Neurospora crassa OR74A: one gene and its partners. The protein of the gene in region 3 interacts with the protein of the main gene of each other region in a pairwise test. Links are inferred from orthologs where the notes say so. Each region holds a gene or a part of one and is shown on either strand. Other genes may lie near its edges.

What was found.
Region 1: the proteins of NCU07011 (region 3) and NCU08323 interact in binary tests that used the Saccharomyces cerevisiae proteins (3 or more experiments, as listed by UniProt). The link is inferred for Neurospora crassa OR74A from reciprocal best matches to the Saccharomyces cerevisiae genes UTP21 and ENP1.
Region 2: the proteins of NCU07011 (region 3) and NCU01022 interact in binary tests that used the Saccharomyces cerevisiae proteins (3 or more experiments, as listed by UniProt). The link is inferred for Neurospora crassa OR74A from reciprocal best matches to the Saccharomyces cerevisiae genes UTP21 and UTP25.

Annotation. Positions count from the first base shown.
Region 1 is NC_026504.1:2,401,710-2,405,899, forward strand, and holds NCU08323 (bystin), read left to right. Parts: upstream 1-1,462; 5' UTR 1,463-1,626; coding exon 1,627-2,246; intron 2,247-2,307; coding exon 2,308-2,436; intron 2,437-2,499; coding exon 2,500-2,672; intron 2,673-2,740; coding exon 2,741-2,959; intron 2,960-3,013; coding exon 3,014-3,154; intron 3,155-3,230; coding exon 3,231-3,391; 3' UTR 3,392-3,690; downstream 3,691-4,190. Other genes in the region: NCU08324 (DNA-binding protein HGH1), read right to left, coding at 1-607, 681-794, 863-1,012, 1,083-1,103; NCU16789 (hypothetical protein), read left to right, coding at 3,834-3,909. UniProt on the Saccharomyces cerevisiae protein: Required for normal export of the pre-40S particles from the nucleus to the cytoplasm.
Region 2 is NC_026505.1:2,700,885-2,705,121, reverse strand, and holds NCU01022 (DUF1253 domain-containing protein), read right to left. Parts: upstream 2,801-4,237; 5' UTR 2,601-2,800; coding exon 2,359-2,600; intron 2,299-2,358; coding exon 1,582-2,298; intron 1,517-1,581; coding exon 220-1,516; 3' UTR 105-219; downstream 1-104. Other genes in the region: NCU01021 (eukaryotic translation initiation factor 3 subunit EifCf), read left to right, coding at 3,436-3,543, 3,779-4,237. UniProt on the Saccharomyces cerevisiae protein: DEAD-box RNA helicase-like protein required for pre-18S rRNA processing, specifically at sites A0, A1, and A2.
Region 3 is NC_026504.1:4,898,668-4,902,610, reverse strand, and holds the start of NCU07011 (WD repeat containing protein 36), read right to left. Parts: upstream 2,801-3,943; 5' UTR 2,737-2,800; coding exon 2,599-2,736; intron 2,537-2,598; coding exon 1-2,536. UniProt on the Saccharomyces cerevisiae protein: Involved in nucleolar processing of pre-18S ribosomal RNA and ribosome assembly.

The DNA of each region.
Region 1 (4,190 bases), about 2.5 Mb from region 3:
TCATCAAATCGCGGCCAGCTCTCGTTGTGGTGAGGAGAGTAAGAGTTTCTAGGTGTGTCAGGATGTTGCTGCTGTCGGGATCGCGCTGCTTGTCTGGAGGCAATAGCTGAAGATCGGTAAGCATTTCCAATGCCTCATCCTCGGGATAAACTTCGCCGCCCATGATAGGAAGTAAAATGTAGGGTAAGATATTGACGTCATCCTCATCCAAAAACGCCGGGTGCGAAGGAATGTCAAAAGCAGCGTTCTTGATAATGCTCGCCACTCCCTTTCGCCTGATATCGGACTTGTGTTCGGTAAAGACCTTGATCTTGTTGATTGGAATAACATCGTCGTAGTCCTGTCTGTTGACAAAGTAGTGCCGGATCTCTTCATGTTTCGAAAGGTCGGCAAAGACGTAGGAGAGGTAGTCGTAATCGGCGTGCTTGTTGTAAGTCCCGTCGGCGCCCTTGACGAAGAGGTCCATTAGTTGGTTAATGACCCTATCGTCGGACTTGAGCTTCTCTGGAGCGGGCTGTTTCCGGTCTAGAAGACTTTTGAGTCCATCCCACTTGGTCAAGTTTGCCAGCAACATAGCCATAAGATTGGCGTTAACCTCCTCGGGCTCCTATAGGAACGGGATCGAAGCGGTTAGTCCTTGCTGCGCACGCACCGTAGGAGCTCAGAATGGATACACATACGACAAGAAGCCCGAGGAGGATTCCAAGGAAGCGATCATCGGTCGCGACGTATTCCAGCACATCCTTCTCGGCAGTCAAGTTGATCAAGCATGTTAGGGCGTGCTCGGCGATTTTCTGCACATGGTACCGACGTCTTAGCTGAAGCTGCTTGGGCGCAAACAAGACAAGTCTGTTGGGCCTACCGGGTGGTCGCGGATCAAGAACTTGAGATGCTTGATGGGGGTGAGCTCGTCGGTCTTGAAGAGGGCGGGCTGAGACGCTGAGAAGGGCACCAGGTTCTCTGTCGCGAGAAGGCGGATGTTGGCGTTCGGCGAGGCAATGAAGCCCACGAGCTTCAGGCGATTATAGCGATTAGTTGTCTGTCCACTGACATTGACACTGCACTGGTTCTGGCAGAATTACCTCTTCAAGTTCGGTCGGCATGTTATCAATGGTAGCTGGATGTATGGTTGTATTGGACTTGCTATAAGCTCGTAACCGTGGCGAGCGAGGCTATGATGTCGCGACTTCCCTTGCTCTTATTCATGCAGTGGGCCAAGCTGCAAAAACTGTAAACACAGGGAACAAAATTCCAGGAATTTGCAACCGAAGAGGGGCACAGTGACGAAAATGCGGGGCAATAAAATGTTTATCGCTGCTCCGCCGGGCGCGTCCAAGCTAGACGATAAGCGATAAGAGGTATTGTACCGCTTATCATTTTCACCGCCCTGGCATCAGAAAATAAAGTGTGCCCACACAGCAAAGAAGTGACCAACCACAAGCGTAGCGCAAGCCTTTCAAGTGCCCAGACTTCTCCACGGCGGGAACAAATTGTCCAAGGGTCGCCGAAAAAAATATCCCCAATTGCCGTGTGCAGCCAAGTCGACATCGCAAAGAGAGGGGACAACCAGGAGAGCTCCGTATCATCAACTCTTCCCCCGATTGCACAACCCTACCGCCATTCAAGATGCCCAAGACAACAGCGGCGACGTCGAAGAGGCGCCACAACCCCCTCGAGGCCGACCTCGTTTCTACCGGCGTCCTTAAGAACAACTCCGGCAAAAAGAGCAAGAACACTCGCGCCGCCAACGACGAAGATGAGCAAAAGTATGTCGACGCCAAGGCTTCGCGCAACATTTTGGCTATGAGCCGTAGCCTCATCGAGGAGGAGGAGAACCTCCGGACAACACAAAACGCAGCCTCCGGATCTGCTCCTTCGGCGTTCGAGTTCGATCCATCGAGATTCGACCGCAACGATGACGAAGACGACAAGTTTGAGAACGACGAGGCCTGGGGCGAGGAAGAGGAGGAGGAGGTAGAGGAAATCGAAGTCGACGCCACCGATCTCGAGACATTCAACCAGTTTATCACACCCACAATGAACGAGGACCCGCTCCTAACACACGGATGGGATGGAAAGCCAGAAGGGGCAGAAGAGCAGGGTCAGAGCGTGAACCTGGCGGACCTTATTCTTGCCAAGATCGCAGAGAAGGAAGCCGGCGGCCCCCAAGGCGGGTACCGCGACGAGCCTGGCCCAATTGATGAGGATTACGAGATCCCCCCAAAGGTGATGGAAGTGTTTGAGAAGTAGGCTGGCCGTTATTTCTGTTACCCTCTTGGCAGACTACTGACAGACTCCTTCTCGCAGAATTGGCATGATTCTTTCTCGCTACAAATCTGGGCCGCTTCCCAAGCCTTTCAAGGTCCTTCCTCAGATCCCCCACTGGGAGGACATCTTGCCCATTACACAACCCGAGTCCTGGACTCCCAATGCCTGGTATGGTTGCTTCTTCCTGTTTTCGGGAGCCAGAGAAACGCTGCTGACATTTGCGATTGTTAGCTACGCGGCCACCAGGATATTTGCGTCCGCCAAGGAGGCTGTTCTTCAACGGTTTATGGAGATGGTGATCTTAGAACGCGTCCGCGAGGACATTCACGAGACCAAGAAGCTCAATGTCCATCTTTTCAACTCCCTAAAAAAGGCCCTCTACAAGCCTGGTGGTTTCTTCAAAGGTGTGTTATTTACTGCCTACGCTTAGTCAGGTTTGCTCAAAAGGGACAACCCAGCTAACCGTTGGCAGGCTTCTTGTTTCCTTTGGCGGCTTCCGGAACGTGCTCGCTGCGTGAGGCGCAGATCGTAGCCGGTGTTTTGACCCGGGTCACCATTCCGGCTGTTCATTCCGGTATGGCCATTAAGGGCTTGTGCGAAATTTCTTCTGCGCAGGCTTCTCAGCGCCTCGACTGCGTTAGCGCTACGAATTTCCTCCTCAAGACTCTGATTGAGAAACGTCACGCCTTGCGTAAGTCCAATTCCTAGCGTGCCAATGATTGTATTCTCTGACTTTGTAATACAGCCTTCCAAGCGCTCGATGCCCTCGTCTTCCACTTTCTTCGGTATCCCGCTTTCGCCACCGGCGGGCATATGGCACCCAACGCTTTACCAGTCATCTTCCATCAGTGCATGCTCTCATTTGCACAGAGATACAAGACGAACAGTGAGTTTGCTTCTTCCGTCGCTGTTTCACTATGCGTCCCTATTATTTTTGAGTACTAACCGCGGTCTTTGTGTAGTTACTGAGGACCAGCGAGAGGCTCTCCTGGATCTTCTCCTAACTCACGGCCATGACAAGATTTCGCCCGAGATCAGGCGAGAACTTCTCGCAGGTCGCGGAGGTGGTGTCCCTGTCGCGCAACCCGGATTTGATGGCGATGACACGATGCTGGACGCTTGAAGAAACATCGGTGATCCGGTAATGACTTATAGACGATGAACCCTTGGTATGCAACGAGGACATGTGGCTCATTTTTACCTGGTACGCGCATAGAGATGGGAGTCGTGTTGTTTAGTGACCTTGGTGGCTTGGGGCAGTCCTTAGACATTGACCCCTTTGATAATACTATGTCACGCCTCGACAGTGGCTACTACTCATCACGCCGCTTGAAGAGGAAGTGGTCATGCCAAGTCAGTCACCATGTACTACCCTTTGTATCTTAGTGGTGCTGACCAACCAGCAACATAATTGTTGACGACCTGTAATGCTTTAGTGCACGAAATTATAAATTCAAGATACCCGGTACAGCAACAGGAATTGTCGAGGAGCCTTGGAATAATCATTTTCAGTTATGTGAAGGAAGCTGCCTTTTGACTTCTTTGTTGCGTCAATCTGGCTTGGAATGCCCTTCTCCCATTTTTCCAAGTCCAAGGCAACCGCGATCCTCTGCCACGTTGTCGGAATCCTGAGAGAACAGTGTAAAGGGAAAGAAGGCAATGTAGCTCTCGCCTACTTCGATATCTCGTGTATCTGATGGCATCATCCCGTATTAGGTGCTTTTACCATACGAGTTTCTAGTGTTCTCTTCCTAACACCCGGTCAACCCGAACATTCTAAGCACTCCGCCCCTCTCGTTTCCCTATTTATTCTTGAGATTGCTTTCTTACCCCGAGACACCAAGTTCTACTCAGTATTTCCGCAAGATCAGGATTTTCGGCGCTGCTTTCTGGCGTTTCGCCTAAGAATCCCGACACCACCT
Region 2 (4,237 bases), on a different chromosome or scaffold from region 3:
GGACTTGGGAGACTGGCAAACCATATGCCCCGTTCCATAGACTGGTGACTTTCAGGATGTTGTCTTATTGCTCACTAGGTACGTACAGCAGTAGTAGGTATTCTATTTTAACAACTATGCAACCAACTTTTTCAATCCATTATGTAAACCCAATCCCCTTGGCAGTTTTGATTATCCGACGCCTTTATACATACATACCATACGACTGACTGGACCTTTTTACACAAAATCAAAAGTATCGCCCTGCTCCGTAATCATCTTGCCCGCCCTCTTGGTCCCCACGATCCTCTCCAGCTTCATAATATCATACTTGCTGAACATGACCTTGACGTGCCCCTGCCCGTGCTCTAGCATCAGCGCCTGCTCGCTCTTCTGCAGGTACCCGCCCGCAATCTCCCTGTAGAAGATGGGGTTATCCGGCAAGCCATAAAAGATGACGCGCTTGACGCCCTTGATGGCGTACCGCCTAAAGTGGTGGGCGCGCTCCGTGTACAGCAGCACGCGGTGGCGGCCCGTCAGGAAATGCGAGCGCGCGCGCGACGCTTCGGGTGTGTCGGCGTACTCGGAGATGTTGCCGAACGTGACGCTCTCGACGGCCGGGTTATTGGCAAAGTAGTTGCGCACCCGCACAAAGTCGAGGTACGAGGGGATGAAGATGAGCGTTCCCGCCGCGTCCTTGGCGGCCCGCTTGACCAGCGTCGGCACGATGGCCTTGGTGAAGTAGGCGAAGCGGGCGTCCGGGTCGGCAGCAATGGAGGCCGCATCGAACCGGCTAAAGGTCTGGCGCGTCTTGACGCCCAGGTACTGGATCACGCCTGGGTATTCGGCTTGCAGCCGGGCTTTGCCTGCCCAGTTGTGGCAGTAAAGACGCTGCAACTCGGCCAGCTCGGGCGTGTTGAAGGCGCTGAAAATCACCGTCTGCCGGAAGTACTTGGCTTGGTCGTCGAGGTACCAGGAGCGCACGCGGGAGAAGTCGCAGCCGTGGGCGTCGCGGGGCTGGAGGTTGAGGTGCTCAAAGATGAACTCGACGTGCTCCCAGTTCTGCATGAGCAGGGCGTCGGCCTGGTCGACAATGACGAGCTCGATGGACGAGAGGAAGTCGTAGTCGAGCTTCTTCTTCTCTTCCTCGGAACCGATGGCCATGCGCAGACCGAGAGGGGAGGCAAAGATGATGTCCGAGTTGTAGAACTGCGAGAAGTACTTGATGGTCTTGCGAGTGAACTTCATACCGAGGCGGAACATGTCGTCGTCGTTGCCGGCGAAGAGGTCGCGGAAGTCTTCGGGTTTGTCGTCAGAGAACTTGGTGGACTTGTCGACATAGCCATCGTCGAAACGCTTGCGGTTTTCTTGTTGCTCAGGAGCGGCGACCTTGCAGATCATTTCGACCATTTTGACGCATGACTGGCGGGTAGGGAGAATCATCAAGACCTTGGGGCGGGTAAAGCCCTGGTCTCTAAGCTCAAGGGTGTCGTCTCTTTGCAACTTGGTGTTGTTCTTGATTACACGGTCACGAGTCCTGAGTAGGTATCAAAGTCAGCTCTCTGTTTACTCTTTTTTTTTTCGTGTTCCCATCAGACTTACTTGAAAACATGGTTGAGCGCATGCAGACACGCCATCCGCCTTATGCTCTCAGACGATGCCACTGACCGGTTGCAGTAAAGCATGTCTTGATAGTTGAAGAGAAGAGGTGCTACTGCCTTCTCAGCTTCGTCGAACTCGGTGTGCTTAGCCATCGATTCGGCTAATCGTTGCTTGAGCTTAAGATCGCCAACTCCAGAAATGGAATGGGGAAGTTTCTGCTCAGCTGAGTCGCCTGTCTCTGGGGTGTTGTAGTATATCCTGTTGGAGTTTTTTGCTATCCTGTCGGTCCTCCACTTGTTCGCCTGAATAGCCTTTATCCTAGCCTGAAATGTCGCCTCGTCTGGGGCAGTAAAGTGAGTTTCGAAGGGGTCTGAGTCGTCGAGGTCGTCATCTTCGTCGAACAGGTCCTCTAATGGTGCATCCTGGGGATCTTCCTCTGGCTCGTCAACTGCATCCACGTCCTCCGTCACCTTCTCATTGTCTTCGTCGTCGCTGTTATCGTCGTCTTTCGTCTTGGTAACTTTGTTCGGACCTTCCTCCTCCGGGTGATCCAACTTCCTCTTTTTCGTCTTGGTTGCACTCTGGAAGCTCTTCAGAAGACTCATGTATGGCTGACCAGACTGGGCATCCTCCTCCTCATCCTCCTCTTCTGATTCCTCAATCTCATCCTCAGAAACATTGGATTCCTCTTCAGAGATGTCCTCTTCCTCATCTTCCCTGTTTCAGTCAGTATGCTTTCCAGTTCTTTTCTGCCCTTGAGTGTTGAAATTTTCTTACTCTTCGTCCTTGTCGGCAAGTCGGGCGTCGTTGAACTTGGATGAGCGAGGGCCGAAACCTCCTCTGGCACCACCCCTCGAACTTCCCCTGCCGCGCCCTCTCGAAGCTCCTCTGGCGCCTCCTCTGGAGCCCCCTCCCCTGGATCCTCCTCTGCCTCTGAAACCTCCTGCACCACCTCTTCCACGACCTCCTCCTCCTCTTCCTCCTCCTCCACGGTCACCACCGCGACCTCGAATTGCCATTTTGATGCGGTAAGAGTTTTCTCAAATTATGAGATGTGAGGTTGGTGATATGACAATTGGTGATTGATGTGTGAAATCAGATTCAACAAAGGTGAAAAAAACGATACGGAAATTGTATTCAGCCTTGTCAACGAGCCAAGAAGAAAAAGTCCAAAAGTCCAATGGAATCTTGAAGGAAGGGCTTGGCAAAGAGCAGCCTTGTAACGCCACCCCTCCCCCTTGACCCTTGCGAACTGAAGAAAGAACAATCTCAAGTCCGCCAAGCTGAACATGGAAGTGTGGAGACCGGCTTATCTTATCTTAGCGCGCACAACACCCAAAGGTCCCGCATTGCGCTGCAAAACCAAAAATTCGAGCAGAGGTACCGCCTACTGGTCCCCATATTTTGCGAAAGCTGGATGGAGTACCTCCCGGTCTAGGGCGAGAGAATGGAAGTTAGTGACTGCCTGTGAACAGTGACGGACCCAACTCGATGGCCGGGCTGCCACCGAGACCTACCCTCACACTGGAGTGCCATTGACATTTGACACCCATTCTCGGCAGTGAAAAAAAGTGTAGTGTACAACCGTAAAAAGTGACTTCTCTTTCTGCCAGTGCCCAGCCCGTGCCCACTCTTCACCAGCGCAAGCCCACCCCACCCCCCGGCCAACCGCTAGCCTCTCTCTCACCCCGAACCCGAAAACAGCGTCTGCTGTCTACATTTTCAAAGAGCCCCATAATCTCAACCTCGACGGCTCCTCCCCTCCTCCTCGAACTCCCGTCCTGCTTCCTCTATCAACCACCACACCACCCCTCCACCATCTCTCACTCAACTACAGCCCAGCCCGTCGTCAAAATGGCTGTCGATCAGGAGTCTTTCGTCCATCTCTCGCGCCCCCTTGCGCCCAATGTGCTTGGCTTCGGTGTCAGCAATGCCCCGCTTACCGTCAACATCCAGCCTCAGGTACGTCAACAGCACCAATTTCCATACTACAGTCCTATATCTGCCCCTCCACTCCTATCTACCTAGTCCCCTACCTTGATGTCCCCCTTTGCGCATGTCAAGCTTACCTACCTACCTACCTACCTATATCCTCTCTGCTACCCCGCCGTCACCACCGCCACTACCACCACTACCATTGCCCAAGACCATACAACACCTAGCTGACATGTAGCCCTTCGCTTTCCTCACCAAATAGGCTGTCTTCTCCATCATCGACCATGCCGTCAGACGTGACGACCGCGACACCCAGTCGACACGGGTGATTGGTGCCCTCGTGGGTGTCCGCAGCGAGGACGGCAGCGAGGTCGAAGTCCGCTCCACCTTCGCCATCCCCCACACCGAGAACGAGGACCAGGTTGAGGTGGACGTCGAGTACCAGAAGAACATGTTGGCCCTGACGCTCAAGGCCAACCCCCGCGAGACCCTGCTGGGTTGGTACACCACCTCGCACGAGCTCAACAGCTTCAGCGCCCTGATCCAGAACTTCTTCGCCTCCCCCGAGACCGGCACCTTCCCCCACCCGGCCGTCCACCTGACCATCGGCACCGAGGCTGGCGCGACCATCGACACCAAGACGTACATCTCCGCTCCTGTGGCCGTCAGCCCCGAGCGCGCCGCCGAGTCGTGCCTCTTCATCGAGGTACCCCACAAGCTC
Region 3 (3,943 bases):
AGAAGGGCGCCTTCTCAGGCGCCTTGGGCGGCTCCTTGGGCTTGTTGCGCTGCTTGATCAGGTCAATGTGCAGCAGCGTCTGCCACCTGCTTTTGGGCACCAGACTGAGCGTCACCATGTCGGCGCTGAGCTGATCGAGGACCGGCGCAGACACGCCCTCATCTTCTTCGTCCTCCTGTTCATCCTCAAAGGCCGCCTCGATGAGACCTTGACCGCCCTCGCCTGAGCTGGTAGGTCCGGCCGAGATTTCGGCAATGTCTTTCTCGGATATTTGTCTGGTCGGCACGTGTCTGAACAGCGTTCTGTTGGTCCAGATGTGCACGCCCAGCTCGCCCTCGGTGGCGCCGGCGAGGTATTCGCCCGTGTTGGAAAAGGCGATGGCGGTGCAGGGTTTCTCGAGCCGGAAGGCGTCGATGAGGTGAGCCGTCGGCAGGTCCCAGACGCGGACGACGCGGTCCTGCGAGGCGGCCACGATCCACCGGCCGTCGTTGGAGAAGGTGAAGTCGTTAATGGTGTCGCGGCAGCCCCAGAACTCTCTGATGGTCTGCTTGGTCTCGATGTCGACAACGCGGATCGAATTGTCGTCGCACGCGAAAGCGATGAGATCGTTGCCGGCGTGGTAGCGACAGCCCGTGATCTGCACCATGGGCGCCCAGTCAATCTCGTCGACTAGGTTGCCCGTGACAAAGTCCCAGAACTTGACGGTGCCGTCGAGAGAGCAGGAAATCACGAAGCGGTTTAGCGGGTCGACCACGATGCCGGTTACGGACTTGGTGTGCTTGCCCGAGCCGGGGGCAAAGGAGGTCTTGGAGGAGGCGCGCTTCTCGAGCTGGCTCACCTTGTCGAGAGCCTTAAGTTGCTGCATCTTCAACTGGCGCATCTGGGCGGGAGTGAGTCGGGAGGGGAAGCGTTGCTTGTGACGGCCGGATTGGAGGTTGAACATGTCTAAGCTACCACCAACGGAGCCAACAAGAGCGAAACTGCCGCAAGGGCTGATAGCCACGGTAGAAACATTTTCGCCATCTCCGGTCTTGAACGCCCACCTACCAGCACGCTTGCGGCCCCAGAACCAGGTGCGAGCCCAGGGGTCGTTCTTATGAGCTGTTACTACGCTTTCCCAGCCGGTCATAGCAGCGAGCTCGGACTTGGTCGGCTTGCTCTTGTCATTGCCCTTGTCCCAGATGACCTGCCTACCGGGCATAGCGCCCATGCCGCCATCGCGGTTGAGCGAGGAGGCGATGCATGTGATTTCGGGAGCCTTGAGGTCGTCCAAAGATGTAGTCGGGCCGTGGCCGCCGAGGGCGGTATTAGCAAGAATACCCACCTTCTTGGCCTTTTTGCGAAGAGCACCCTGACTGAGCTCAGAGCTCTGGCCATCGCGGCGCAAACTCCAGCCCCACAGACTCCTGTCCTTGCCACCACTGAGAAGCCACTTGTTGCCGGCCTCGGCGCCATCGAAATCGGTTGGCAAGAATTGCAGGCAGTTGACGGGGGCGGCATGGCCGCTGCGCATGTGAAGGATACGGGGGACGGGCGAGAAGGGCGATTCGTCGAAGATCCAGGACTTGAGCGAGTTGTCCAAACCACTGGTCATGATAACGGGCTGTCCTGGGAGGAACTCAACCTTGCTGATGCCTCCGCGCACAGTCTTGTCGGTGTGTGATGGGGGATTATGGGCGCTCCGGAGTACACCCATCACTCTGCCGCCCTTGTTGAGATCCCAGAATGTGACATCTCCACCAATGCTTGTGGCGGTAGCCATGACGCCATCTTTTGTACCATCTTGACCAGCACCCTGACCGTCGGTTCGGAAGGAGATGCTTGTAACGGGGGCGTGTTCGGATCCGGCCATCAACTTGAGGGAGGCCTTGTCGGTAAGGACGTTGTGGATGACGAGAGGGCCGTTCGAGTAGGCGATGGCGAGAAGCGAAAGTGCCGGGGTAGGCTCCATACAGGTGACAGATCCAGCGTCGGGAGAGGGCGGAAGGATGGTGTAGATGAGCTTGCCGGTGCTGACGTTCCAGATCTCTACCCAACCGTCCTTGCGACCGACCAAGATCTTGTTGAGGAAGGTAGGCATGTTGACTACGCCACCAGTGAGCTCGTTGTCGCCCTTCTTTGCGGCAACGGAAAAGATGGTCGTGTAGTGTTCGAGGGTGGCCGACTTCCATACTTCGAGGCGGGTTTGGGCGCATGCAACAATCCAGGAACCGAAGATGAGGATCTGCTTGATGGGCTGGTTGAGGTCGGCGGGCAGCTCAAGCTCGGCTACCTTCTTTCCGCGCTGATAAACCCAGATACCTTGGGCCTCGCCATTTTGAGGGTTACCCCAAGCGGCGAATACCTTTTCCTTCCAAGCATATGTGGCGGTAATGTCGGCGGGAGTCTGGGGGCGGGTAACGAAGACGAGATTGAGACCTCTCTTTAGGTCATAGGTCTGGAGGGAGCGGCCGACCGAGGTAGTGATCTGGAAGGTGGTCTTGCCGAGAGGGATGGAGGTAAAGGGGACGCTTGTTGGAGATACCAAGCCTACAGTCTATGAGTGGTGAGTTTGGTGTTAGTTTGAGGACTTCATGCGACCGGCTATTAGGGACGTACTCTGAAGGGAGCAAAGATGGAGGAACCCTTCTTCTTCTTCTGAGGCGCCTTGGACTTGACGACAGAGGCATTGAGCTTCTGCCGCTTGGCGGATGTGATTTCGCGATCGGAATGCGGCATCATGTCGTCGAGTGGCATATGCTGCCAACTACCACGATGTCTGCGAATGCCTTTCAGTTGCAAAGCCTTGTTGAAAGTCGCAGTTTGAAGATTTCGATAATAGTAGCCTTGTCGCGGTGGACCAGAAATTTTCAGCCACAGTTTGGGGTCGGTTGGGGCAGGCAAGTGGGAGCTTCATGTGATTGGTCTGCCTCGCCATGTGGGGTAGCATGAAAGCTGGACGCATGTGGGACCACCGTCTGGCTAGGACCCACAGAGCTTAAATCCAGCACTGTGTATCTGTGTACTGCATAGTAGGAACCTCCTGCGATCCCGGCCGCATTTTGCAGCCTTTCAGTTACCGGGATTACCGTTTCCCATCATCGCAGAAGTCGAGACTGTGTTCCAAACTGCAGTAAACCCCACACCTCCATCTGCCCCGCCAACTGGGCGAAAAAGCTCTTGCTTGTGAAACACAGCACAGCACAGCACAGCACAGCATCACCATCCCCTGTCCGCTTCAGCGTCGAAATGCTAGGTTGCCTGCGGCGTCATCATCCCGTCCATCGAACCCACCTCAGGTCGTCCACCCATAGAGGTACCACGGCATACGGTTCGCAATGACACCCACCTTCAGCGTTCTTCTGGATTTTCTCTGCGGCTATCGCAGTATATCATAGGGCGCCAGCAAGGGTTTAGTTTGGCATGACACCCACCTTCTGGTACCAGTAGTCAACGCGCAATGGGCTCTTTGGTGTCCATCATTGTCGATCACTAGAGAGGTTTTTTTTTTCCTGTGTCTATCCAAGCACGCCAATGACGAAAGAGACTGGACCTCCAGTTATGACGACGAAGTGGCTGTAAATATAACCGAATTAGACAGTCCAACACGGCTCGCTTTAGTCAGGAAAGGCCATCACAGAATTTCGAGAGGGATGGTAAAAAAAAAAGTCGAAAAGACATCAGCCAGAGTTACCTGGGAATTTCTCCATGCAAAATTGCCTGAGAGTTAGTCTAGTTTCCAAAGGTAGCATGAAAAGTGTATTCTAACGACCATTCATTCGGTTGATGGCCATGTAGTACCCGAGAAAGTGCCAGCCTTTCTGCCATGAGCTACCAAAACTCCGGTGTAAGGGAATGAACTAATGGTGGGATCCAGATGCACTTACACGTAGACGTTCAGAATTGGGACTAGTAGGTACTACCGGGTCCGTTTATGGAAATTGCCCACATGCCGCCTTTCCCT